Linked DNA regions of Stegostoma tigrinum. The protein of the gene in region 2 purifies or fractionates together with the protein of the main gene of each other region. This does not show direct contact. Links are inferred from orthologs where the notes say so. Each region holds a gene or a part of one and is shown on either strand. Other genes may lie near its edges. The genes, in order: siah1, ctnnb1, pkma and ezh2.

Region 1 (7,016 bases), on a different chromosome or scaffold from region 2:
ACCAGCCAAGTAAGTATATCCCTCCTTAAATAAAAGCCACCAAAACTATTCAGAGCAGTCAGGAGGTCTTACCAATGTTACGTGGTTATATAAAAGAGGTTGATAAGTCTAATCCCAGGTCAAAGTGGGATACAGAATTAAAGTGGTAGCACTTGGCACCTGAAACATGATCAGGTAGTGATCAGCAAAGCTGCTATTCAACTTGCTTTTGGTCTCTTTACAGTGGAGGAAACCATACTGAGCAGTGAACAGAGTTTACAAGGTTGCAAGATGCCCAAGTAAATTACTGTCTATACCATGAGTATTTTGAACATTGGGGAGTGGTGAGAAAAGAAAGAGACAGGTATTACACTTGCGTAGAAAGGACAAGTACCTTCCAGAGAACCCGAGTTGCCCAAGGGCAAATTGGGACAGGCAATAAATGCTGGCCAGCCAGCAATGCCCAAATCCCACAAGGAAATAAATTTAAGTATAAAAATGGCCCAGAGACTGCAGACCTGATCTTTCAGCCTGTTGAAACAATAGAAGGTGCTTCTTTGCAACACTAAAAAAGATAAAGTTGCCATAGTTTTTGTTTTTAAAAGAAAATTCACATGACAGTCATCATGGATCGACCACCATTTATTGCCCATCCCTAGAAACCCATGAGAAGATGATGGCGAGGTGCTTTAAGTAGGTCCACAATGTCAATGAGGGAAGTAATTCTAAGGATTTGACTGAGCGACATGTTTCCAAATCAGAATGGGGAACTTGCAGGTGGTACGCTCACATATCTACTGCCCCCGTCTATCTAGATGGAAGTGGTCTAAGGTTCTCTGGCAAGTCAAGTGAGCTGATTTGTACTGGATGGCTTTAAGTTTCTTGAACTTTGTTGGAGTCATACTCCCACGAGCAAGTGGGGAGTATTCCAATATGCTACTGAATTGTGCTTTGTAGATGATGGGCAGGCTTTGGAGTCAGGGAATGAGTTCCTCATTGCCAAATTCCTAGCTTGGGCTGCTTTTGTAGTCAGTCTTTTTTATTTTAAAAAAGACAAAGACAGTCTAGTTGAGGTTCTGATCAACAGTAACACCAACTCCGTACCCCACACTATTGTGCATGTCTTATTGCATTTGAACATGGACTGCCTCAGTATCATGAGATGACAAGACCACAGACTACTGAGATGACTCAGTGGTTTAACTCAAGGATCACCACACATCAGGAAAGGGGAAAGAGGTTGAAAAGTAGCATCCTTCATGGCAATTCCAGCCAGTGGAAGAACTGAGCTTATGTTGGTGTCACTCTACATTGCAAACCAGCCATTCAACCAACTGAACTGACCAATTCCTCCATATTAATTTGACAGAAATAAGCATTAAGTTGTCAAGTGCAGAAACCGTGAAAGGAAGTGGTGGACAAGAAAGTATGGTTTATTTAGGCCAAAAAGGTAATCCTCTGCTAGAAGGATGAGGGGAAAAACCTATTCAGTAAACTAGTGACAGGGCATTCCTACCAAAAAGGCCAATTTTTCACTTTTCCAAATACTAAGCCAGCCTTATCGTCTCCTTCCTTATCACCACTGCCCCACCATTTACATTACAACACAATTTTTCAATGTTTAAGTGCTTTACCTGGTTACTCCAGATACTTCAATCCCAGCAGTGACTAAGCAACCAAATAACACTCCGACACAGACGTTGCGTTTAAAAGTTACAATTGGGGCAAGGTGAAAAGAAAAATATATTGTTGGAAAATCCTTTTATAGCAGGCCTAGTTTGCACCTGCTACATCTAAAAGACGTCAACGTATACGTAGTGTTGGGGCTGCCTGTATTATTACAGACTACGAAAAGATTCACACGAATTAACTGGAGAATAGCTTCAGAAGCTACTGTACCAGATTGAGACCTCGTGATCGGTGGCAAATTATATTATCAGCAAAGCGATTGTCAACATGGAACAAAGACGCAGTGGTTGGAGTTTCCCCCTCCTGCACACATTTCCATTGCATCAAACATAACAGAAGACTAAACGTACTGGATCACAATCCAGAACCAACATTTTTGTTTACCTTCCCGCTGTGTTACTACAAACAATAACTAAAAATAAAAGCTGCTGAGAGAATACGGTGGAAGTAACCAGATCGGAAACGCAAAGACTTGGCGATCGTTCAGAAAACTGCGTTAGGAGACACATTCGCAGGGGTAGCTCTAAACAATGCGAGGTCGGAATGAGTAAATAATAAATTAAAACGCCAGCGAACTGGACAGCCCAGCCATTTCTAACAATAGCGAGTAGGAGAGCGAGCAGAGGGCCGCGGCCTACTAAAATCTCGCCATGCCGGCGGCCTCTCCCGCACAAACAATCAACACAATCCGCTCCCACTGCAGCCTCCGCCAAAGGCCAGGAGCCCTAAGCCTTCCGAATAAAACACGACAAAGCAGCAGGAGGGCGGACTGGCTTGCCCTAGTCATGCAACATCGGCACTAACTCTGGCCGCAATGGCCCTCCCCAGCGAACAGAGAGCTTCCCCTTCTCGATTCCCACCTCACTGCCTTATGGCGACTTTAAAAGGTCCGATTTCTGACTGTACTCACCGGCGTTAAAATGCAAACTCGAGTCGCACCCAGATACGTCGCTGCTTATTGTGTGCGTCGCACTCCTTGCCCACTCTCCTGCTCTCTCTGGACAGATGGATCAAAGGCTGACCCGCTGCCGACTCCAGACGCGAGGTGGGCCAGCGGCTCCTTTCTCTTTTCTTTCCCCCCCCCCCCCCGCCACTGTCAGCCTCCACCACCCGCCTCCTGCTCCCGCGCGGCGGCACCAAACGGCCGCGCTCGAGCTCCCCACAACGCGCTCACCTGCCCTTGCGCAGCGCGCCTAATTATTCCAGTGGGTGGGCCAATCAGCGGCAATAGCCAGAGCCCGCGCGAGCCTGGTCCACAGACGGTGACGACAACGACCAAGACTGTGAACTGGCGTGTCAGTGATGGAAGTGCTGAAGGAGCTGAGACCAACCTTGTTGTCACCGAGGTACACATCACTGAGTAAAACACCACATTATGGGAGGGACCAGAACATACATGGACGATAAGATTGGTCAAAGCTAGGATTACCATGTCGGGCAAAATTTAATAGTAACATATAATAAATAGTTTTTATGGCACGCTAATGCAGTGCATTGGAAATCAAACCTCACTTCTGCCGGAGTCTTCACAGAAAGATTAATTAAACTCTCCAGGGTCCCCATTTAATTTGATTGCAAACCCAAGTAAAATGAAAATACTCATAAGGTATTGTACCACAGAATCCCGACAGTGTGGAGTAGGCCATTTGGTCCATCAAGTCCATACCTACCATTCGAAGAGCATGTCATCCAGACGTACCCATATTATCCCTGTAACCCCATATTTCCCACGGCTAATCACCTAACCTGCACATCTTTGGACCTTTGGGGGGCGGGAGGGTGAACTGGAGCACCCGGAGGAAACCTACGCAAAGACGGAGAATGTGCAAACTCCACAATGTCACTTGTGGGTGGAATCAAACCTGGGTCTCTGCCACTATGAAGCAGCACTGCTAACCACTAAACCAGCCATGTCACCCATTTTCAGGGAAAGTTGGGATGAGGGAAATACAAAGGATTAAAACTGGTATTTAACCATAACTTTACATTTAACTAACTACTTAACAAGAAAACGTTTAGATTTTGCAAACAAATTGTCTTTAACTGATGGCAAAAAAATTACCAACTTGTAACTCTTTATATTTTAATTTCTACCCCTTTTAAGAAGCTTTTCTGGGCTTAATCAAAAGGGTGTTAGGCCAGCTTTTCTGATGGCCAAAGAATTGTATTTTCATCGTAGACGGGAGTTACGCAGGGAGATTCTGCCATTGGACCTGAACCCACCAGAACTGACATCCACCCTCCTCACCGTACCCTCGAGACTGTAGCACTGACCTGGCCCCCTGGCCAAATTCCAGACATGTTCCCACTTGGCACCCTACTTACCTTGCAGCTTACCCCTCCTCATCCACAGTCCATCCCGCTCAGGCATTTTATGTGTGTCACTGTACCATTTCCCCAGCTAGCACCCTATGCACCTTGCACTCCATCCGTATGCATCTGACATCTTACTGCTAGGCATCTTCCCTACCCAGCAGGCGCTTCATATACCCAACAATCTACCTGCCTGCCAACCTAACACCTACTCATCTGGCAACCGAACTCAAGCATCCAACCCCTTCCCATCTAATATCCCACCTCTTCCTAGCAGGCATCTGATCCATCCTATTTACCTGAAGCATTGGAACCCACCACTAACTATCTGGCACCCTAATCGCTGGCATTCCACCATTCCACAACTGGCATTCTACCATTCTACTTTTGTGGCACCATTCCTGTCTGGCATACTAGCATTCTAAACCCCTACCTATCTGTCACCATTGACTCCCAGCACCATAACCCTATTCTAATCTGATGTATTCACTATTTAACAGCAGCTTCCAAAGTCACTGTCTGGACCTTTAAATCTCAGAATGCAGCAGCTGGCTGGTAGGAAAAGGGAGCATGGATTTCCTTCCTGTGACAGTTTTGCAGCACAGAAGAACTGACAGAATAAAAGTACAGTGATAATGGGAACTGCAGATGCTGGAGAATCCAAGATAACAAAGTGTGGAGCTGGATGAACACAGCAGGCCAAACAGCGTCTCAGGAGCACACTAGCTGACGTTTCGGGCCTAGACCCTTCATTAGAGAGGGGGATGGGTAGAGGGAACTGGAATAAATAGGGAGAGAGGGGCAGGCGGACTGAAGATGGAGAGTAAAGAAGATACGTAGAGAGGAGGGTATAGGTGAGGAGGTAGGGAGGGGATAGGTCAGTCCAGGGAAGATGGACAGGTCAAGGAGGCGGGATGAGGTGGTAGGTAGGAAATGGAGGTGCGGCTTGAGGTGGGAGGAAGGGATGGGTGAGAGGAAGAACAGGTTAGGGAAGCGAAGACAGGCTGGGCTGGTTTTGGGATGCAGTGGGGGGAGGGGACGAGCTGGGCTGGCTTTGGGATGCAGTGGGGGGAGAGGAAGAACTGGGCTGGTTTTGGGATGCAGTGGGGGAAGGGGAGATTTTGAAGCTGGTGAAGTCCACATTGATACCATTGGGCTGCAGGGTTCCCAAGCGGAATATGAGTTGCTGTTCTTGCAACCTTCAGGTGGCATCATTGTGGCACTGCAGGAGGCCCATGTTGGACATGTTGTCTGAGGAATGGGAGGGGGAGTTAAAATGGTTCGCGACTGGGAAGTGCAGTTGTTTGTTGCGAACCGAGCGGAGGTGTTCTGCAACGCGGTCCCCAAGCCTCCGCTTGGTTTCCCCAATGTAGAGGAAGCCACACCAGGTACAATGAATACAATATACCACATTGGCAGATATGCAGGTGAACCTCTGCTTGACATTGAAGGTCATCTTGGGGCCTGGGATAGGGGTGAGGGAGGAGGTGTGGGGGCAAGTGTAGCACTTCCTGCGTTTGCAGGGGAAGGTGCTGGGTGTGGTGGGGTTGGAGGGGAGTGTGGAGCGGACAAGGGAGTCGTGGAGAGAGTGGCCTCTCCAGAAGGCAGACAAGGGTGGGGATGGAAAAATAGCTTGGGTGTTGGGGTCGGATTGTAGATGGCGGAAGTGTTGGAGGATGATGCGTTGTATCCGGAGGTTGGTGGGGTGGTATGTGAGAACGAGGGGGATCCTCTGGGGGCGGTTGTGGCAGGGGCGGGAATAGAAGAACAGGTCTGCATTTCAGAAGGAGTCCTGATTAGAATCTCCTCTCAGAAATGTGAAATTGTTTTTTCACTAAAGAAGGGCCAAAGTGGCAATCTACAAGTGATTGCCAGTTCTCTGAAAATTTGGTCTATTGTTTTATTAGTACTGAATTTTATTTTTGTATTTGTTCATGGGATGTTGGCTGTTACAGTATTTATTGCTCAGAGTACAGTTAAGAACCAACCACATTGCTATGGGATGTCAGATTTCCTGCATCAAAGGGCATTAGTGAACCAGACAGGTTTTTCATGACAGTTTTTATTGCATTCAGATGTTTTATCTTCCATAGTGAGGTTTGAACCCATGTTGTCAGGGCATTAGTCTGGGGCCCTCTGGACTACTAGCCTAGGAACAATACCATGAGACCAGTGTCTCCCAATAAAGTGTCCACATCATCCTTAACTAGCGTCACCTGTCTGGGTGTATCTCACTCGGAGGTAGGAAGGATAGCCGATGCTGGAGTCAGAGATAACACAGTGTGGAGCTGGAGGAATACAGCAGGATAGGCAGCAACAGAGGAGCAGGAAAGTTGACGTTTTGGGCCAGGACCCATCTTCAGAAATGGGGGAGGGGGAAGGGAGCTCAAATAAATAGAGAGAGGAGGAGTAGGGCTGGGGAAGGTAGGTGAGATGGTGATAGGTGAGTGCAGGTAGGGAGTGATGGGGATTGGTCAGTGAGGTGGGAGGAGCGGATAGGTGGGAGAGAAGATGGACAGGTCGTGTCAGGTCAAGGAGGTGGAATGAGAGGGAGGGTTGGAAGGAATTGGGTCTCCGCCGCGTCTGCTCCCAAGATGGGGTGTTCCACTCCTGAAGATCCCAGATGTCTTTTTATTTCAAGGACTGCAACTTACCTGGTCGGTGGTTGAAAATGCTGTCGACTGCAACTCTTGCGTTTCCTGCACCACTGCCCTCACATTCCCTCTCCCCAACAAATACAAAGACAAAAACCCCATTGTCCTCACATATCACCCCACTAACCTCGGTATCCAATGTCTCATTCTCTGCCACTTCCGCCACCTACAGTCTGACCCCACAACCAAAGAAATATTTCCCTCCCCACCCCCCTCTGCCTTTTGTCAGGACCACTCTCTCCATGACTCTCTCATTTGCTCCACACTCCCCACTAGCTCCACCACCCCTGGCATCTTTCTCTACGACCGCAGGAAGTGCTACACCTGCCCCTACACCTCCCCCCTCACCTGCATTCAAGGCATCAACAAACCTTTTACATC
Region 2 (8,006 bases):
AAAACAGGGCAGTCGAGGACTCCAGCTTGCTTTTCATATGCACAGGGAGGGGTTAGTGCAACTGATAAATCCTTCTCTGCTCCCCCTATTGTTTACAATTATAGAGTAATCCAGTGCAGTACTGTGATGATTGGTGGCCAGCAGCCTTCAAACCACAGTCCAACTGGAGCCACAATGTTCACGAAAGGAGAGATAAAGGGTATAATTATCAAAATACAAATGCTAACTTAACATCTTTAAATTTCTTTCTGCTGCACTGTTTAGTGCAAACAAAACAGCTGCAATAAAATGTACAACATATACCAGAACAATGAAATTCATGCAGCATCACCACTTCTGGTGAAACTATGAGAACACTAATTTTTCAAAAAAAAGTCATTTTCAACAGCTTTCTCAATTTCATAATCAGACAGCAATAAAAGAAATCAGTAATTGGAATGCAACATCCACTGAATGAATTGTCATGCTCATAATAGTATAAAATAAAGCAGTTACAAGTCACCAAGTCCAATGACACCAAAATACATGAAGCCCATAAATAAACAGAACAGCCTTTAAGTTTAGCCAATAGTTTAAAATGCAAAGCATGTATTGCAATACAAACCTCAAATCGTGACCACAGATCTTTTGTGACTACTGAAAATTTTGTTCTTATTATGAGATACTAGAACTGGATTTCAGAGATGGAATTCTGACTTTGTATCCATTTTCCCAGAAGATGTACACTACTGTCAATACATATTATCGTGTGCTAAAAACATCTGGTCAGTCACATAGGAAAAACCAGTTGGTCCTAAACACTTCACATTTTATTTTCTAAGTTAAATACATAATGAAATTTCAAACAAATTGTTTGATACTACACCATCATGTTTCTCTTTCCACTCAAAATGGAAGTGCCTCAACTTAACATCCAAGTCTACCAACAGTACAAGATTCCTGCTTCTACATGAAATCCCAACTTTCATTTGAAACTGTAATTAATGCACTGTACAGAGGGAAAACAAACTTGCAAACCATGAAAATACTCAGAAACCAACTACAATGAATACAGATGTGTAACTATCGATACGAAGATTTGAGATTTACATACACACAACATGCAGACAACAGATCTGACATGTAAATCAACAATTCACAGAAGCAGAATGTAGGAAAGAGACTAGAAAGATAACCCACAATTGTCACAGTCGTGGCCACACTAAACTTATGTACTCTGCAAATGGTATCCTCAGAACATGAAACATGCAGCAAAAGCCCATATCACAACAAGACACTGGAAGAAAATAGATAGTTTAAACTTGCTCTAAATTTATCAAAATGAATTTGTGCATGTATGCGCCTTTCCTCATTGAGGTTAATAGATAATCCACTGCTTAAAAATTACATACTAGTGTAAAAACAGATCTATTTGCCTATGATAAAGCATTTATCAGCAAAAATCTCAAAATGCAAATCCCAGACTGCTGTATGAGTCACCTACTCATTTGGTTGTTAATGAGCAAGTTTTGTCCCATTTCATCAATTTTCACCAAATACAGCTCAGGATTCCAGGCAATTTCTCAACCATCTCAGCATATACTTGCACACTCAAAGTTTGGGTGTTAAGCTGCATGCTGCCAATTTAGAAAACAAAATCACTTCACCAATGGAAACCCACTTTGTAATTTCACCCAGTTAAGGCATTCACTTTCCCACACTCCTATAATTTACAGATGCACTTTTACAACCTGTGGTAAAGAGTTAACTCTACAACCTTTGTAGCCCAGTCTTGTAGCCATGAAGCCGGGAAAACACTGGCCCCTCTGCTTCCAAACTTCTTAAGCCAAGTAGGAACACCCTCCCATCTCCCTGTCCAGACTGGAGATGCAAACACCTGCCCTCCACCAAAGTAGAAACCCATCCCACCACATCCACGTTGGGATTTAAAAACACATTCAGGGTAACGATCGTATCTCTCTCGCTCTCTTTCCCCCAGCCCGGGAACACAATTTCTGCCCCTTCCCACAGTAATTAGCACAAAGCTCCATGGTTACAAACTGTCTCCCACCCCCTCAGGGTAAACAACCTCCATCTCACTTCTGCCCCCTACTGGGGTAAATTTTCCCTACTTAAGCCCCTCAGATTAAAGACCACCTTTTCAATTCTTCCTCCAACAGGTTAAGCATCCTCACACCTAACTTGTCTCCACTCTCCAGTTGAACCCCCATCCCCTCCCCCGATTTGGGGTAAAGCCCTCTCCAGTTGCCCCCTTTCTGGGGGGGGGGGAGAAATTCCTTCCAGTTCTGAGGGTTCTCTCCCCCCCATGAGGGTAAAGGTGCCCCCCCTCCCCCAGAGGGTTGGAAGCTCCCCTCTGCTCTCCCTCCGGGGGAGAAGATACACCCTCCTCTCTCTCTCTCTAGCCCCCCCTCCCCTCCCAATCACCCACGGTTTTAAACCCCTCTTTCTCCTGCCCCCTCTCTGGGGTAAACTCCAACCCCCTTTTCTCCTGATAATAAACACCCGCCCTTCCCCCGATGCCACGTTGTTCGGGAGTTAATCGACTTTTCGATCTTTTAATTCTGAAAGCGGGAGGATCTGGAAACTCAGTCCCTCCTCACTCACCACCTCGAGAACAACCTCTAATCCACCCCCTCTCCCAAGGGAAGGGCCGGAGAAGGCCGGGCTCTTTCTCACCCACCGTCGCTGAAGGACGGGCACCTCTAAAGTCGGGAAGCAGCGGCCACTCCAACTCCTCTCCGCGGCTTCGAGAGTGATCGCGGGGGTGACGGTGAACTCTTAACTTCTTTACGTATTTTTAATAAATGTCTTCGCTCTTCCTCCGGGTCGCCCCGCTATCAGCTCTGCCCACCACCATCTCTCTCTCCCACGCCCCACTTTTCCCTTTCACATACACTCACTCTCTTACACTCCTCCTCCTCCGTCTCCCGCTTTCCAACAACCGCCGCTGCCAGCGACTCCAATCAAAATGGCGACCGGCAGCAACGTCTCTTTATAAAGTGGCAGCGACACGGTGCGTGCCCCTCCGCCTGCGGAATGTAGTGCGTAATTTTCCAGCCCACACCTGGCAGAAGGAAGGTGAAAAGGGGGGTGTTTATAATTAAAATAACAATAACTTAACCCTTCTCCGGCCTTTATCACACGCAGACAACGCATAAACCTATGTCAAACTTAAAATTTTACAGCACAGTCTAGAGTTGGGTTATGTTTGATCTGATTTGTGACTGTTGATAAAACCTATTTTTGCCTATGCCCACCCCCATTTCTTTTCTACTGCTCCCTTACCCAGGCCCGGAACGTCGCGGAAGGATACTGGCTAGGTGCCGTAGCCACAACACCTTGTGGTCAAGGATCGCTGGAACCACAGAGGCAGCGAGTAGCAGCTCAGCGAAGCAACTTTATTTTTGCAGCTGCAATGAGACTTTCCACCATATGCATAACATCCTTTTATTTATTTGGACTTTTATGTTCGTGAATTTCATATACGTTTCTGCATTGGGGCCAGAATTGCAATAAATTTCTCCCCTCCCTTTCCCACCAAACTTGCATTCTTCGCGATTGAGTTTTTAACTTTCTAAAGTAAACAGTTAACTTCAAAGACCCGAGTTTTGCAAACACAAAAGACGAAGCGTGGGGATAAAAAGAAACCCGCACCATTTTCTTTCGTCGGGGAGGAGAGCGAGCCTCAAGAGTTATTTTGGTTGTAACACGTACGAGTTAAGCATTTCAAAAAGTAATGAACTCACCCAAAATTCATTGAAATTCACGGAAGTAGAGATGTACAAAGTTCACTTCTAGGCATCCCACACAAAGGAAAAATGCTGCAGCATTAGTGGAAAAAGTATTCCAGTGTGCAAAAATACTTAAGTCGCAGCCTGGTTGGATTACCGAAAGCAAAACCGATCCTAAAAATAAGGCTAGAACAATGTGGTCTTTTATTTGCAAAAGTAATTTTTCTATTCCCACTTACTTCCCACATGAATCTTCCTGGCTCAATCTAAAAAGAAAACAAAGCTAAATCAATTATGATTTATAACCTTCGGAACTGCATCATTTATTTATAAACGTTAGCTTCAAGCTGTGCAAATGTAAAGTAACCACACTATCCATGAAATGGAACCCCAAATGAAGTATTTAAGCCTTGAATTATGTGAGATTTGTAATTCTTATTGGTGAAGACGGCATCTGGCGTATTATTAGCGAAAAGTGTTACATATAATATGCAATTATATTTTTACATTCAGAAGGTTCTTATGCTCAAGACATTTTTAAAAATCAGTCAATGAAATACTTGTGAAGTGTAGTAAATGAAGAATACAGCAGTCAAAATTGTGTCACGGTTGTGTAGCATGTACTGTGGTGATCTTACAAAGCAATACAGATAGGTTAAGTGAGTGGACAAAAGAACTGGTAACGAGTATAATGTGGCAAAGTGGGAAATTATCCATTTTGGCAGAAACAGCAAAAAAAATGCATATTATCTAACTGGTGAGAGGTTGCACCGCTCTGAGATGCAGAGAGGTCTGCGTGCTTGTGCATGAATCAAGGAGGGTTGGTACAAAGGTACAGCAAATGGTTAGGAAAACTAATAGAATATTATGTTTTATTTTGAGGGAAATTTAATGCAACATTAGGGAGGTTATGTTTCAGTTATAGAGGACTTTAGTGAGACTGCATCCAAATTATGGTATAAGTACTGGTCAACATACTTACAGAAGGATGTTAATGTATTGGAAACTGTGCAGGAAAGATTTACTCGACTAATAACTGGAATGAACAGATAGCCTTATGAGGAAAGGTTAGGCCTGTGTTGTCAGGAGTTTAGAAGAGTCAAAGGGACTTCATTGAAGCACAGAAGATCCTTCTGAGGGGCCTTGAGCAGGTGGATATCATGTGAATCTCTTGTAAGGGAACCTAGAATAAGAGGTCACAGTTTAAAAGTGAATGGTCACCCCTTTAAATCAGTGATATGGAAAAAATTCTCCCCGAGGATTGAGAATCTTTGGAATTCCCTTCCTCAAAACACAGTGGATGCAGAATCTTTAAATATTTTTAAAGCAGAAGTAGACAGATTCTTGATTCCTGAGGGGTTCAAAATTATCGATGGGATATGCGGGAACGAAGAGTTGTGGTTAAAATCAGATCAGCCATGATCTTATTGAATGGGGGAACAGGCTCAACGGGCCAAGTGGCCTACTCTTGTTCCTTCTTATGTTTATATCCCTACACCATGAGAACAGCAGGAGCTCATGAGGGCAGCACACTCTCAGTTTTTCCATGGCAATTATGGATGGGCAACATATGCTGATGTAACCAATGGCTCCCACATGTGCTGTTGAACAAATAAAAAGAACAGCTGCCTGACGTTGAGATATATTCCCAGCATTTTCACATATTTTATTTAACTGTATACTTTGATAGTTAATCATTGTCTAGGTAACCACTGTCTGATTTCATAAACAGAATCATCTATTAGTACCCATCACATTTGAGTGTCATTGTGCAGCCACTCACTGATTGGTTGGTTGAGCTTTATTTTGCTGTAATTCAACTCAAACATGATATCATGGGAGTGACTGCCTGATCCTGTGACCCAGCAGCATCTTTATCTGAGGCATGACCTCAATCGAACACAGCTCGCCATTGGAAGATGTCAATATGCGTATTGGACTGGGGTGGACAAAGTCAAAAGTCGCATGACACCAACTTATAGTTTAGTTCAACAAGTTTATTTGCAATCACAAACTTTTGGAGCACTGCTCCTTCGCCAGTGGCAGCATATGGGATTGTGATACAAACTCAAATAAGTTTAACAGGTTGGATGACATTCTGGAATCCTGTGGTACATATATTGTACCTTTTCTTAAAGTCATTTTTGTAACCCTTTTTTCTGTCCTTTTTTTTCTCACCTGTTTTTTGCATGTCCTCAATAACTATTTGCTGATTATTGCCAATACCACTTAATTTCCAGGCATTAGAAGGCAGTTGATATCTGCACAATATAACTAGCTCTCTGGTACTTAATTTCATATGGAATTACTTAGATCTTATGTGTTACTGCCCAATTGAAGCATTATTAAGACCTGCAACTCAACACATGTAACATGCAAGCCAGAGTACTTCTGTCAACCAGTACTTGATACTTCCTGCCCCGAAACATGAATTTAAGTCTTTTGATTGCAGCATCCTCACTATATAATATGTGTCAGTGCCTTATGGTACAGATTTCATTGATATTGTGACCTCTTGAGAATACCAAATTTAAACGTATCACCATGGGTAGCTGTGCCTTCATCTGCAAATGTCCTAAACTCTGAAATCCTTCCTTGAAACCCTCTACCTCTCTTCTCCTTTTTCTTTTCTTCAAAATGCTCCTCAAAAAGCCTACCTTTTTGGCAATCTTTTTGTCATCTTGTCAAAGGCTGCAATCAGCTGAGCCATGATCATATTGAATGGTGGTATAGATTTACTGGGCTGAATGGCCTACTGCCAATTATAATTCTCATGTTCTTAGGATTTACATTACTTGCTGCAAAATCTTTTTCCTGTATTGTGCCTGTAAAGTACATTGAGGTGTTTCACCGTTTGAGAGGTGCGTTATAAATATATAATGGGGGCAGAATGGCACTAGACTATTAATCCAGAGACCCAGGCAACATTTTGGGACCCGAGTTTAAATTCTTCCATAGCAGATGGAATCAACAGTCCAGTGATGATCATGAAAATCTTGTCAATGGTTGGAAAAGCCCATCTGGTTCACTAATGTCCTTTTGGGAAGGAAACTGTCATCCTTACCTACTATGGCCTACATGTGACTCTAGACCGACAGCAATGTGGTTGACTCTTAGGAATGGGCAATAAATACTGACTTAGCCAGCGACATCCACATGCCATGAATGAATTTTTAGAAAGTTCTTGATTCTTGGTTTTGATCCAAGTAAGAGCTTATGGTCTGGAACAAATAGAGTTAGACTTGGCACGTCATTGATCCTCATGATCACTGCAAAGACATCATGAAAAAACTGTTCAATGCTAGCCAAAGTGCAAATCCCAGATTTCTCACCATCTAACACATACGGCAACATGAACAGTGAAAGAACTTACTGCTTCGATCATTGCTGCAAATTGCAAAAACAACACTCCATTCTTTTCAATGTTTTAACAAACACAGTCAACTGACTTTTAAAACACATGGAAACTCACTGATGATGTGCCATTTAAATGCAAAACTATTGTCTCCTGAAAATCTTTTTTCTTCTCAATAAGAAGGGACAATTTTTTTGCATTAGGCCCCCTCAGAGCCTGTAAACTTTTCATAGGAGTGGAAGGAATAGATAATCATTGATTCCAATGATTATTCCTGTTAGACAATTGATAATTATCAAACTATATGTATATGAATACAGCAAGAACAACCAATCAGAGACAAAATAATTTCACGGTAAGAAAGAATTCTGGAACAACTAAAGCTGTAAATCGATAATGATTTTTATGCCAAGATGATCCTTCATTATTATAAGGGAGTTCCATCAGCAATGAAATAAACTGACAGTTTGAAAATTATTTTTCCAGACATTCTGTTTTCTCACATTGGGGCTGTCTGAGTCAGAGTAACATAATTCATCTGGAAATAGAATTATTGATGTATTAGGAATTTCAACAGTTTATGTCCTGACCAGGAATAATTTTGAACATAAACTCACAAAAATAAATATGTATACAATGCCCATATATCAAATTTTCATTCAAGGAATGTACAAGTTCCCTCCTAACTGATCAATGTTTGAAGCTAAACAATGGCATTTTAGATTTCTGTAAGAAAATCAAGGAGGACAAATTAGCCAATGCAATGTGTAGTGTCATTGCCTCAGAGCTGGAAACTCCAGATTTGAATCTCACCTCAAGATGGGTCCATGAATAGGAAGGATTTAAAGGGAAATGGTCCAGATGCTGGCAAATGGGACTATATTAATTTAAGATACATAGTCAGCATGGATGAGTTGGAC
Region 3 (6,909 bases), on a different chromosome or scaffold from region 2:
ATTTCAACTGACTGCCAATTACAAACTAAATTAGATTTGAATGAAACAAGTATTAGCCATAGAGTCTCAGAGATATACAGCATGGAAACAGACCCTTCAGTCCAACTCATCCATGCCGACAAGATATCCTAAATTAATCTAATCCCATTTGCCAGCATTTGGCCCATATCTCTTTAAACCCTTCTTATTCTTATACCCACCCAGACGCCTTTTAAATGTTGGAATTGTGCCAACTTCAACCACTTCCGCAGGTAGTTCATTCCATACAAGCACCAATCTCTGCATGAAAAGATTACCCTTTAGGTCCCTTTTAAATCTTTCCCGTCTCACCTTAAACCTACGTCTTCTAAGTTTGGACTCCCCTACTCTAGGCAAAAGACCTTGACTATTCACCCTAACCATGCTCCTCCTGTTTATGTAAATTTTCTAAAGGTCACCCCCTCAGCTTCCAATGGTCCAGAGAAAACAGCCCCAGTTTATTCAGCGTCTCCCTATTGTTCAAACCCTCCAACCCTGGCAACACCCTTGTAAATCTTTTCTGCACACTTTCAAGTTTCACAACATCCTTCTTGTAGCAGGGAGGCCGGAAAAGAACACAATATTCCAAAAGTGGCCCAACAAATGCCCTGTACAGCCGCAATATGATGATATTTTCTTTTCCAAAAATTGTGCACACACTCAGTCCTAGTGACCAGAATTATTTTTTTTCCTTATTTTGATGGAATCTGTGCAATATTGGCAATGCCAGTGTTGGTTGCCCACAAGTAATTGCCTTTTGAGGGCTGTTAAGATTACTGTGTGTTTTGGAGTCATACATGAACCAGACCAGGTTAGGATGGCAGGCTTCGTTCTAGTTAGGTATTTGTGACAACTTATGGCAGTTTAATGGTCACTATCACTGAGACTATCTTTCATTTCAGTTTCTTTTCAAACAAATAAGATTACATTGGGTTACTGGTCCAGTGACATTACCACCGCCTCTCTCTGATGTGCATTTCACCAATTTCAGAAGGTAGAGAGAAACATTTTAATGAGACAAGACCACAACTGAATTGATATGATAACAAGGTGTGGAGCTGGATGAACACAGCAGGCCAGGCAGCATCTTGGCCTGCTGTGTTCATCCAGCTCCACACTTTGTTATCTTGGATTCTCCAGCATCTGCAGTTCCCATTATCTCTGAATTGATATGATGCTTTGTTTCAAAGGCAAGAAGTGAATGTTCAGAGTGTCATTCAAAATCAAACCTCACCTTGATTCTACTAAATACAGAAGTTTCTTCAAGAAAAACAAAATACATCATCTCTATTATCAAGCTCACTTAGTCCTTCTTGCTCAATGTTGCTGCTTCTGACCTCAGGCTGGGTAAATTTGCCTCCATAAAGCAATGTTTCCGACTAAGAATGAGCAGTTGAGCTTGATGGGTTTGAAGGATAGGAAGAGGGTGTATATGTTGGGGTTGTTTTCTCTGGACCATTGGAAGCTGAGGGGTGACCTTGTGGAAGTTTACATAATCATGAGGAGCATGGATAGGGCAATTAGTCAAGGTCTTTTTCCTAGTGTAGGGGAGTCCAAAACTAGAGGGCATAGGTTTAAGGTGAGAGGGGAAAGATTTAAAAGGGACCTAAGGAGCAACATTTTCACACAGTTTTACTCAACATTTTCTCAAGCTGCAATAAAACATTCTGCCACTGTATTCAAGGGTAAGGGTGCCCCACACAATTTCCTCCCTTCAATCAATGTCATTAACAATCTCCACCATCTGGTCATTACAATATAGTTGTTTGTGGGGTCTTGCTGTGCCCAGGGTTGGAGGGTTTGACCTATATGGATAAGCTGAATAAGAAGGGGCTATTTTCCCTGGAGCGTCTCAGGCTGAGAGGGTGACCTTATCGAGGCTTATACAGTCATGAGAGGCATAGGTAGAGTGAATAATCAAGGTCTTTTCCCCAGGGTAGGGAGGTCCAAAACTAGACGGCATTGGTTTAACGTGAGAGGCGAAAGATTTAAAAGGGACATAAGGGGCAAACTTTTCATGTTGAGAGTGGTACGTGAATGGAATAAGCTGCCAAAGGAGGTGGTGAAGACTGGTACAATTAGAACACTTAAACAACATCTGGATGGTGCATGAATAGAAGGCGTTAGAAGGATACGGGCACAATGCTGGCAAATGGGAGTAGATTAATTTAGGATATCTGGTTGGCACGGATGAGTTTGACCGAAGGGTCTGTTTCCATGCCGTACCTCTCTATGACTCCACATTGATTGCCATAGTTCCTATGTTGCAACAGAGGTTGCACTTCAGAAGCGCTTCATTGGTTTTAAAGCATATCAGGATAGTCTCGGTTATGGACAACTCCATACAAATGCAAGTCCATCTTTTCTACTCTTTGCTTTTAGCTCTTGCCTTTTGTCTGTCCAAGAATTACTGGGTTGCTAAAACCTACTGCACAAATCACAACACTTCTGGTCAGCTGTTAGCTCTTGTTCGTTCAATCATTTCACTGTTTGTGTTTTCTCTGACACATAACCTAAGGACTCAAAACTGTCATGAACACTAGAGGCACGTGGGAAAAATATGTATTTATAAAATCCACCTGACCCTTGTAAGAGGATAATGGTTTAACGATTAACCGAACACCATTATCCAGATGAAATAAATCTGTGCTTGTAATAATTTCCTAAATTTGAAGAACGATCAGTAGATACATATTGAAAATGTCTTTTTAAAATATATTGTCTAATATAAAAGTATAACATGACATTTCATAAGAATGAGCCATAAGATCTGAGAAGCAAATATTTGCCAATTAGAATTTATGTTGAAACAAACCTTTAAAGGGAATAAAAAATACTTTTTATATATTACAACAAAAGCTCAGCTTTTGAATTGTCACACATTAACATGGTACAGATATTTTGAAAAGGATATACATAGTCACGTTTACTGCTTTAGGCTTGTACTTACACTTTGGTATTACTTGCAGCATTGCCCATCACAGATGACCAGTTAGAGTAACTCTGCAATTTTTAAAGCTTTTGAAATATTAGTCACTTTTATACAGGAGAAAACCTCAAGATTCGGGCTGCTCTAACACCCATTAGAGATACATGAGGGCGGGGGAAACATTTGATTGGCATGCCTGTACAGCCAATAATTGTCAAAATCTTCAAGACTCTTGACTGACATTTTAAGCCACCAATAGATGGGCACAACCATTACAACCCTGCCCAATAAATAGGGTCAGAACTAGGAATTGCTAGAAAAAACTCAGTAGGTTTGTCAGTGTTTGTGAAGGGGAAATCTGAGTTAATGGTTCAGGTTAGTGATCCTTCCTCAGAATGCAACAAACAGGGTGCCTTGTCAGGTACATAGGCAATATTGGGGTTTTATACCAATTAGAATTGTATAGATACAAAAACAGAGTTTGCTAAAGAAACTCAGGAGGACTGGCAGCATTTATGGAGAGAAAGAACTGTTAATGTTTCAAATCCAATGACCCTTCAGAATGTTCTGGAATTGTGCAAAATAGACCTTAAGTAATAAAAACAGAAATTGCTGGAAAAGCTCAGTGGGTTGGTAGCATCTGTGGAGGAAAAATCAGAGTTAATGTTTCAGGTTGTGTGATCATTCCTCAGAACCTAAGTAATGACTGCAGGTTTGAATCAGCCCTGGTTAGTTGGGGGGGAAAAAAGTAATGTTACAATGATGTCAGGCCCTGTTTGCTGCTTCTGCTGGTGACTCATGCTGCAGGTTATGTTTAAAATTTGTTGATGGGATTATGTACGTGGGTGTTTGTTGCCTTTGAAATGAGGGAGCCATTTCAGAGGATGGTTCATAATAAATCACATTTCCATAGGTTTGGAGTAACTTGCACAAGGTGGTGGTAGTAGTAGCAGATTTCTTTCCTGAAAGAATCAGGTGGGCTTTGTTTTTTAATAACATTTGATGGTTGTTACAGTTGTTGCCATTATTTGACAATCATTCAATTGTAGGTATTAATAGTTAAATTTAGTTAAATAATTAATTTTGCAAGCTGCTGTGGTGGAAATTGAGCCTGTGACTTTAGAACATTAACCTCAATCTTTGGATTGATACTTCACTGATTATTACCACTACATCAGGCAATCACCTGAAGGTTGAAAGGGCTATGGGGACAGTGCAGGGAAGTGGAGTTGAAATGCCCATCAGCCATGATTTAAATGGTGGAGTGGGCTTGATGGGCCGAATGGCCTTACTTCCACTCCTATGTCTTTATGGTCTTATGAAATTGGTAGTGCTTACTATGTTTTCATTTCCCTGCTCTCTGTCAAACTCCATCTACCTTCAGGAGCCTCTGTTGTGTTTTTGATTTCTGATTATATTTTCTGTTCTTTATATTTTTCTTTTGAATACTAATCTGACTGGATTGGCCATTTGACCACCAGTCTTCAGCAAATTGATTTTGATAAATCAGCTTTGGTTTAATCACACTCTTAATATTTTAAACTATCAGAGAACTCAGGAATGACATTTGTTTAATGTGGTACAGGGGTGTAAACTTTCTAGCTGTCTGATCAAACTGTGATGAGGCTTTCAGAGCAAAATCTGCAACACTAGAAGAGAGAGTTTATTGGCAACTTGAGCTAAAAGTAGTCAAAACAAGTCAAAAGAAAAACTTGATCAACTTTCATGATTTTAGGATGCCCCAAAGGAACATACAGGCTAGGGTGAATTTTTGAAGAGCTGTTCCAGTAGAAGAGATGTGACAGCCAATTTGTACATAGGAAGCTCCACATGTAGCAGTTAAGGGCCTGGGTCAGGATTGAAACTGATAAAATCATAGAATCCTGACAGTGCATAAGCAGGCCATTTAACCCATCAGGTCTGCACTGACCCTCCCACCCATCTCACCACCCCCCCACCCCTTCCCTGTCTCTATAAACCCTATTTCGTATGGCTGAACCACCTAACCTGCACACCCCCAGACACTATGGGCAAATTAGCGTGGCCAATCCACCTAACCTGCACATCTTTGAATGGGTAGAATCTTTCAGTTTAACTTTAAATTAATGGAGTGTGATCATTATAAATCTAACAAGAACTTGGGATGGGCCTGTTTAATTTAATAGTTAAAAAATGGCAATTTCAAAAGTGCAGTGATCTCTTAGTGTGATTGTAAATGATTTACTCATGTTCCTAGACTGGGGCAAAACCCTAAAAAGTGAGAGAACTCGATGTGAAGCTGGATGAACACAACAGGCCAAGCAACATCAGAGAAGCAGGAAAGTTTGACATTTCTTCTGAAGGGTCTCAACCCGAAACGTCAAACTTTCCTGCTCCTCTGCTGCTTGGCTTGCTGCGTTCATCCAGCTTCACATCGTGTTATCTCAGATTCTCCAGCATCAGCAGTTCCTACTATCCTTAAAAATTAGGAATTGCTGAAGTGAGAGATAGTATTAAAAGTTTTTCATCTTACATTCATCAGGATAAAAGGACAATATTCAAGCCTTACAACTTATTTCGAATGTCCCTGTTGCTTGGGGAACCTCGAGTTACCCTACTGTTTTCCCCATGGTAACATTTTTGGCTAATGTCAATGTGCTGATTAATTAATTAACACCCCTGTCTCATCAGGTGTAAATTGTCATGATTATTCAAATTTTGGCATTCTTGCATTTGTTCTGATGGGTAAAACATGGAAAATAATGGTAACCTGTTTCTCTTTACAGCAAGATTTAAGGTTGATGCACCAAGAAACTCTGTGACCTGAAAGTCTTCTGACTCAAAGATTAAACATTACCAATGAGCTAGCCTGACACTTAGCTCACACACAGATGCGTGCACTAAATGTGGAGACAGGCATTCTCAGGGTCAAGTGACTCTCTCTCCAAATTCAACAATGAGAAAGAAAAAATAATAGCTCCAATCAGCAAGTTGAGAGCTGACCAGCGAGCTGCTTGTGAATTACTAACCTTCATACTGAAATCTCACCTCCACCAGAAAGAGCCAGACAATCAGAACCTGATGGCTTCTTGGCACTAGACAGCATCTCTCAAGGGCTATGCTTTAGGGGTTTAAATGGCAAGAAGTTATGTGCTTTGATTTCAGATCTGAGTATACCCACCATCCTGTGTTACCATCCTGTGTTTCCACCCTCCCCACCAAGACTGAGGCAAATAGAGTCTCTCTCCCCAGCCCAGAAGGAGGCCGGAGACGAAACCTGACATTCTTCTCATCTGCTGGAGAGGCAGATAATCAATCTAGTGGTGACACTTAACTGATCACATAAAAGCCTTCATTGTTTTTTGAGAAGGTTTGGGCGGCACGGTGGCTCAGTGGTTAGCACTGCTGCCTCACAGCGCCAGGGACCTGGGCTCAATTCCAGCCTTAGGTGACTATCTGTGTGGGGTTTGCACATTCTCCCCGTGTCTGTGTAGGTTTCCTCAAGGTGCTCGGGTTTCCTCCCACAGTCCAAAGATGTGCAGGGTAGGTGGATTGGCCATGCTAAATTGCCCATCGTGTTCAGGGAGGTGTAGATTAGGTGGGTTATAGGGGGTTGGGTCGAGGTGGGATGCTCTGAGGGTTGGTGTGGACTTGTTGCCACACTAGGGATTCTATGTTCTATATTGTAGCTCGGGCCACGGATGAGGTTGTAGGCTTGCTCGCCGAGCTGGTGTGTTTGATTGCTGATGTTTCAATATGCTGCTGGGTAACATCATCCGTGCACCTCTGGTGAAGCGTTGGTGTTCTGTCTTGGTTATTATTTGTATGCTTCAGTTTGCTGGGTTCGTCGGTGTTACTTCCGGTCAAGTTTTTCAGTGATTTGTACATCGGATCCAGTTCAATGTGTTTGTTGATGGGGTTGCATTTGGAATGCCAGGCCTTCAGGAATTCCCTGGCGTGTCTCTGTTTGACTTGTGATGTTA
Region 4 (6,846 bases), about 90 Mb from region 2:
AGTATGGACAGGTTGACCAAAAAGTCTGCTCCAGTGCTGTACAGCTCTACGAGTGTGAGGGACAGAATGTTTGTGTTGAATATTTTCTTGAAAATAACCTACCCAATGAGTATTAGTTTCAAGAGGCTCCTTGGAACTTTGTTATGGTGATCAGGAATGCAGTACCCACAAGACTGAGCTTATACCAGGAGTGTACACTGATCATTTCAGACTGAAATGAAGAGAAAAATCTTCACTCACTTGTGAAATTTTGGAATCATCTGCAACAATTACCACATAAGCCGTTTCTGTTTTGTTCACTGAAAGATAAACTGACCTGTATATTTTACATCACCCAAAAGAGTGAACAGTGTTTTATGTCATATTTGTTTTGCAAACTTCAAATGGAAACATCTTCTCCACACATATCCTGTCCAAACCACTCATGAATTTCAAAACATCTCAGATTTCCAAGTCATTTTTCCTGAAAAAAGTTCTCTGTTTAATCGATCACAAGAGCTGTAATCACCTAATCTTGCAGCATTGAAAATCATTTCCATACTTGTCCCAGTACTTTATGCCTTGCTCTAGATGTACTCCGTACTCAATACATAGATTTGTTTAATACCACTTCATGACTTAATTTAAATACTGCTACAAATAAATGGCACTGCTTTATCATTTCTAATAATTTTGACTGTCTTCAATGTTGCTTTTAATTATTTGTCTATTTCCATTCCTGGATTAATATGTTCCACTAACTTCTAATTTTCTAAAAACATAGGTAATGTTTTTCTTTTTCCGCCCCACAGGTTATACTTACTCAACTCATTTCAATATTAAAATTCACTTGTCATTTAACTTCCTAGTCTGCAGCTTGCATTTGTGCTCAGTGTCAGGTGTGCTCCCTTGGTGTCATTTGCAAATTGATCTAGAATCCCTTAATCTTAAAGCCAAATCATCAATATAAATTATGATGTTAGTCCTAGTGGTGATAGATGCAAAATACTTGTTCTGATCTCTACCCCTCTTTTCCAACCAGTTACTTACGTCCTGACCTCATGTCCCAAATTTCATTGGGTCTGTGTTCACCCTCTTGAAGGCCTAACGTGTACTGCATCTTTATAATTTGCAACAGAATGTTGACATTTATTGCAACCAGTTATGTACCTTTAATTTTTTCAGCTACAGCATGGATTTTCAAGGGCCACATGTGGCCATAGCTGAAAAAACTGAAAATGAATGCATGGCACACAGATTGGCACAGACAGATCCTCAGAACAAACATGCAGGCACTCAGCTCATAGGTTGCATTGGTAATGGGAACTGAATGTGAAAGGCAGTTTTACTGCAGCTTTTACTGCAGGGCCTTACTGAATCATCATCTGAACCACTGTGGAGCCTTCTGTTCCCTTTAATTGAGTGATATAATTGCATTCAAAGCAGTTCAGAGAAGGATGACTCAACTCAGGGAGAGGGTTTACACTATGGTGTAAAGGCTGCTGACCATCATCTTCTCAAGGGCAAACAGGCCAGCCAAGTACATCCTAGAAGAAAATTGACTCCCTTGTCATGGAACAGAGATGGTGGTGGCATCAATGACTCTGAAGCCAGATCGGTATTGATTTTAGTGAATGGCAAACAGGTTCAAAGGGCTAACCCTGTTCAGAAGTCCTAGGTTCCCACACACACCCTGTGCACTGTTAGAACTTCACTGAGGTAAGCACTCAGGCTGACCTCAGAGATAGTAGGAACTGTGATGTTGGAGTCTTAGATGTGAAGCTGAATGAACACAGCAGGCTAGGCAGCTTCAGAGCAGGGAAGCTGACGTTTCTGGTCTGGACCCTTCAGAAAAAAAAAAGACGGGTCCAGACCCTAAACGTCAGCTTCCCTGCTCCTCTGATGCTGCCTGGCCTGCTGTGTTCAGCCAGCTCCACATTTGATTACCTCCAGGCTGACCTCACTGTTCTGTTTCTTGACGTTATACCATTTTAAGTGTAGATTCGTGCAGCTCCCCATAACACTGACATCATATCGACTGGTTTCTCAATCCCAGATTTTGATTTTAGATCTCTTTCGTCATAATAGGGGAATGATACATCACGGGAGGCAATTCAGTTCATCATGTGTATGACTTCTCTGAAAGAACTACCAATTAGTCCCACTCCTCTGCTCTTTCGCTATAAGACATGCGTTTTTTTTAACCTCCTACTTGTTACATCCCACTTGATGACTCTAGGTTTTCTCATCACGCCGCTAAACGAGTTAATCACCATGCCCTAATTCCACTGCCAAGCGGAGGAAGGGCATCCCCCGGAGTAACTGAAGGGCGGAGAATTAGTAGGGAAGAAGGGGAGGGGGGGGCAGAAATCAACTTCCAATAGATAAAGTTTATCCCCCATTGGTCTGTTCAAACTCGGCAGCTGATAAAATTGGAGCCGACTGAAAACACTGAATCGCTCCCCGAGTGAATGACAAGATTAAAGAATGATTTACACAGTCTGATCGGATCAGGCCTTCAATCTGTCCCTTTATTTATGATTGGGAATTAAAGGAAACATGTTCCGGGGAATCCGGCGCTACACCCGCTGCCCCTCGGGGAGGGGGTCGGTGGGGGAAGGCTGGAACCTAACGTGGCGAGCGCGCGGATTCCAAACGCTTGGCCGCCAGCTCTGGCCGTTGGAATTCAAATTTCCGCCAGCCCAGGGCTTCCGCAGCCAACCGGACTGACGGAGACTTCTATTCTTGCCGCCTCTTCCTTACCTGGATGGAGAAGCAGAAGCTGATCCCTGCTGACCTCCTCCTTCTCTGCCGCTGTCAGCCGGGCTAACTTGGAGCCGAAACTTTGCGAGAGTTTTACTGGGTGAGTTTACAGCCGGGTTACGCGGGTGTCAGGACGGTGATCGGGCCGGCCGGCAGCCGTTACTCTCACGTCCTCGGCTGGGTGGCTGACTGCCTCTGTCTGTCCCGCTCGCACTCCGTCTCCGAGCTCTCACTCTTCTTTTCTTTCTCTCCTTTTGTCTTCGTTCTCCGCCCGGCTACACAGATAGGGCGCGAAAACAACGTGTCCAATCCAATCAAACTTTGCTGAAGCCTGCTAACAAACCCTTCTTGCATTGGGCGCAGGAGGCCCACTTTCCTCCAATCTGCATTAACCTCGCATGGGAGTGTGGGATGTGACCATGTGGTGCTTCTTTGTGGGGCTTTCAGGGGTGGTTTTTTTTATGTGCCCGTCGTTCTGGTAAACGTTGAGTAAGTCGCGCTCGTGGAACTTGGATCTGTCAGGACGGAGCTACATCGAGATGCGATGTCAAGGGATGACTCAAGCTATGCGGGTGTATCCTCCAATTGTAATGTGCGGGTTTCTATTTATAGTTCCTTGTTCCCCAGCCTGAAAATGAAGATTCCTGTCACCATTGGCTGCTTGGCACCGAGAGTTGCTGCTGTTGCATTTTCAGTTTTGAGCAAGTTCTACTAGTGAAAGGTTACTAACTTCACGTTCCGGATTCACTCTTATGTTTCAGATGGAGCTGGGCGTAACGATGCGAACATTTTCGCTTTCTCTTGAAACCATTTTCATTTTGTTTTTCCGCATCAGCCTAGACACCCCCGTGAATTGAGACTTTCCGGTCTGTCTTCTACTGGAAAGGCTGTATGTAGTCCAGACAATGAAAGGATCAAACTTGCTCGGGGTTCTGTCCACAGTAATAGTTTGACACTACATTCAAGTGAATTATGGTTATCTGTGAGAGGGATCTTGGCACGTGTAGAAGCAGATCCCTGCCAGGGTTACTACCTTCAGGAACAAAAAAAACTTAGATGCAGCTTAAAACGAACGAATATTTTGTCCGAAGTGCAACCATATTAAACAAGTTATTCAAAAATGTTTATGCGAACATCTATTTCTGTGCCTTTGTTGAATGTGCTTCAATATTTCACTGGGTTTAGTTAGGTGCTTTTCTGGTCATTCATTTATTCTACATCTCTAATTACCCTTGAGAGGTGGTAATGGGCTGCCTCCTTGCAATCCATGGAGTGCACCCACAGTAGGGGAGGTTGCCACAGAAGTCATTTGGCTGTAAGGAAGTTGCAGGGTTTCAAATAAAGAAATGGCAAAATAGTTTAATCAGGATGGTTTGTGGGTTGAAGCGAAACTTACAGATAGTGATGCTCCTAAGCATGTGTTGCACATTCCCTTTTAGATGGTAGAGGGTGCAGGTTTGGAAGGCGCAGTCAAAAGAACCTTGGTGAGTTGCTGAATGCATCTTGTAATTGGTGTACAATGTTGCCATGATCTGTCAGAGGTGAAGGGAATGAATGTTGAAAGTAGTGGATGATATACCAGTGAAGTATCCTTTGTTATGGATAGTGTCAAGCTTTTTGAGTTTTTGAGCTGTAGACATTAGGTAAACGGAGAGCATTCTATCACACTTCTGATTTGTGTCTTACAGAGGATGAACGGGTTTTATGGAATCAGGAATTGTGTTATTTGCTGAAGAATTCTTAGCCTCTGACCTGCCCTTGTCCAGCCACATCAATTCTGTGGCTAATAGTTCAGTTTTGTTCAATGGGAAGCTTGTGCTGGTAGTGGGGTTTCAACATGGTAATGTATTTGAAAGTCAAATGGAAATGATTAAATTCTCCCGTGGCCATTGATTGGCACTTGCATTACGTGAATGTTGCTGCGATTTGTCAGGCTTACTTATCACCTGAAGCATCAACATTGTCCAGGTCTTGCTGCTTGGGGATATGGATTCGTCAGTATCTGAGGAGTCACAAATGGTCCTGAACAATTCCCTTGTGTTAGGTAAGCCTCCAAACATAGAATGTTTTCCATATGATTCCCATTGATTCCATTTATGCTAGGGTTCCTTCACAGAATTGATGTTGCTGGACAAGGGCAGGTCAGAGGCTAAGAATTCTTCAGCAAATAACACAATTCCTGATTCCATAAAAGCCGTTCATCCTCTGTAAGACACAAATCAGAAGTGTGATAGAATGCTCTCCATTTACCTCATGTCTACAGCTCAAAAACTCAAAAAGCTTGACACTATCCATAACAAAGGATACTCAAATGCTGCCTTGATATCAAGGATCATCACTTTAACCTCACCTTCAGTTACCTTGTCGATGTTTAGACCAAGGATATGATGAGTTCCAGATCTGAGTGGAATTGAATGCAATGAGAAAATTTTTGCTGAGTAATTGGTACTTGATGACACTGTCAGCAACTCCTTTGGTCACCTTGCTGATGAGGCAGTCATTGGACTTGCCCTGCTTTTTGCATATACCGTACAGGACGTGCCTAGGCAATTATTACATATTGCTGGTTTGATGCTAGTTTTATAGCTAAATGGGAACAGTTTGGCTCGGGGCATAGCTAATTCTGGAGGACACAACTTCAGTACTGTTGCCAAAATGTTATCATGGTCCAGCACTTTTAGCCGTTTCTTAATATGTGGAGTGAATTGAAGTCGATAAAGCATGGTATTTGTGATGCTAGAAATCTTAGGAGAAGGCTGAGGTGGATCATCCATTCAGCATTTCTGAATGAAGATTGATGCAAATGCTTCAGCCTTGTTTTTAGTCCTGAATGTACTGGTCTTCTCTTCCAACACTGAGGGTGGGATATGAGGCTATCTGAGATAGAAGCAGGTTATTTGGCTGATTGAGTCTGTTCCACCATGCAATTAAGATTGATTTGATAATCCTCAGCCTTGAATATACTTAACAACACAACTTTCTCAGCCTTCTGTTGTAAAGGTTTGCACAGATTTACTGTCTTCTGAGAGGGGGAAAAAACCTTCTCTATCCTAACTGGGAAACCCCTTACTCTGAGATTATCCCCTCTGGTCCTAGACAAGGGTATACAACTTCTTTGTCAAGACCCCTAAGAATCTTAGTTTGGTCATTAGTGTGCTGTTGTGCCACTTTGGTGATTTATGTTGAAATACCTAACCCAGAATGCATTCTTTCCCCTTGCCATGTTCTCCCAATTGGTGTGCAACATGAAAGAGAACTGATTCATCAGTTGAGGGAAGGGGAATTAGTGTGAGGTAATCAGCAGGATGTTTTCTTGCCAATGTTTGGCCTGATAGCATTAAACTTTGTGGGGTTCAGAGTCAATTTTGAAGACTGCCGAAACATTTCCCTCCTGACTGTACCATTCTGCCACCACCTCTGGGTGGTTCCGTCATGTCAACAGGGCAGAATATTCTGAGCTGATTATGGCAATGTCTGAGAAATAATCACGCTTGCAGAATCATACCTGCAGATAATGTGATCTCTCAATTTTGGCACAAGCCCCCAAATATTTGTAAGGATTACTTCACAGGGCTGAGTTTGCTTTGTTTCCAGTGCCGAGATCAATACCAGGTGGTCTGTTCAGTTTCATTTCTTTCTTGAGACTTCATTGTGGCTTGGTACAACTGAGTGGCTTGCGAGGCCATTTTAGAGGGCATTTAAGAGTCAACCATGTTGCTTGCAGGTCCTTAGTCACAAGTTGACCAGATCAGGTAACGATGGCAGATATCCTTCCCTGAGAATGTTAGTTAACCAGATGGATTTTTAGGATAGTAAACAGTGGTTTCTTGGTTACCATTAATCTAAGTTTAAATTACAGTTTATTTTTGCAAACAATTTGCTTATTTTCTTATTATTTACTCCCATTCATTCTCTCTCTCTCTCGCGCTCGAGGACAATATTATTTTATTGTTCGTTATTGTTTACCCAGCAAACAATGTGGATTCTTGTATTCAGTACAAGCTTAAAACTGAAGTATAAGGATATAAAGAGAACTCCCTTGAATCTCGTTTCTCCATGTAGTTTTGTGAAGCACATCAAGATATTTAAGTACATAAATGGTGC

What was found.
Region 1: the proteins of ctnnb1 (region 2) and siah1 purify together in Homo sapiens (affinity purification with western blotting; 4 studies listed by BioGRID). This does not show direct contact. The link is inferred for Stegostoma tigrinum from reciprocal best matches to the Homo sapiens genes CTNNB1 and SIAH1.
Region 3: the proteins of ctnnb1 (region 2) and pkma purify together in Homo sapiens (affinity purification with western blotting; 5 studies listed by BioGRID and IntAct, with this or other methods). This does not show direct contact. The link is inferred for Stegostoma tigrinum from reciprocal best matches to the Homo sapiens genes CTNNB1 and PKM.
Region 4: the proteins of ctnnb1 (region 2) and ezh2 purify together in Homo sapiens (affinity purification with western blotting; 4 studies listed by BioGRID, with this or other methods). This does not show direct contact. The link is inferred for Stegostoma tigrinum from reciprocal best matches to the Homo sapiens genes CTNNB1 and EZH2.

What each region holds. Positions count from the first base shown.
Region 1 is NC_081369.1:29,622,271-29,629,286, reverse strand, and holds the start of siah1 (E3 ubiquitin-protein ligase Siah1), read right to left. Parts: upstream 3,009-7,016; 5' UTR 2,579-3,008; intron 1-2,578. UniProt on the Homo sapiens protein: E3 ubiquitin-protein ligase that mediates ubiquitination and subsequent proteasomal degradation of target proteins.
Region 2 is NC_081355.1:8,430,121-8,438,126, reverse strand, and holds the start of ctnnb1 (catenin beta-1), read right to left. Parts: upstream 3,012-8,006; 5' UTR 2,901-3,011; exon of another isoform or gene 2,895-2,900; intron 2,811-2,894; exon of another isoform or gene 2,681-2,810; intron 1-2,680. UniProt on the Homo sapiens protein: Key downstream component of the canonical Wnt signaling pathway.
Region 3 is NC_081389.1:14,446,863-14,453,771, forward strand, and holds the start of pkma (pyruvate kinase PKM), read right to left. Parts: upstream 3,013-6,909; 5' UTR 2,998-3,012; coding exon 2,969-2,997; intron 1-2,968. UniProt on the Homo sapiens protein: Catalyzes the final rate-limiting step of glycolysis by mediating the transfer of a phosphoryl group from phosphoenolpyruvate (PEP) to ADP, generating ATP.
Region 4 is NC_081355.1:98,007,358-98,014,203, reverse strand, and holds the start of ezh2 (histone-lysine N-methyltransferase EZH2), read right to left. Parts: upstream 3,027-6,846; 5' UTR 2,743-3,026; intron 1-2,742. UniProt on the Homo sapiens protein: Polycomb group (PcG) protein. Catalytic subunit of the PRC2/EED-EZH2 complex, which methylates 'Lys-9' (H3K9me) and 'Lys-27' (H3K27me) of histone H3, leading to transcriptional repression of the affected target gene.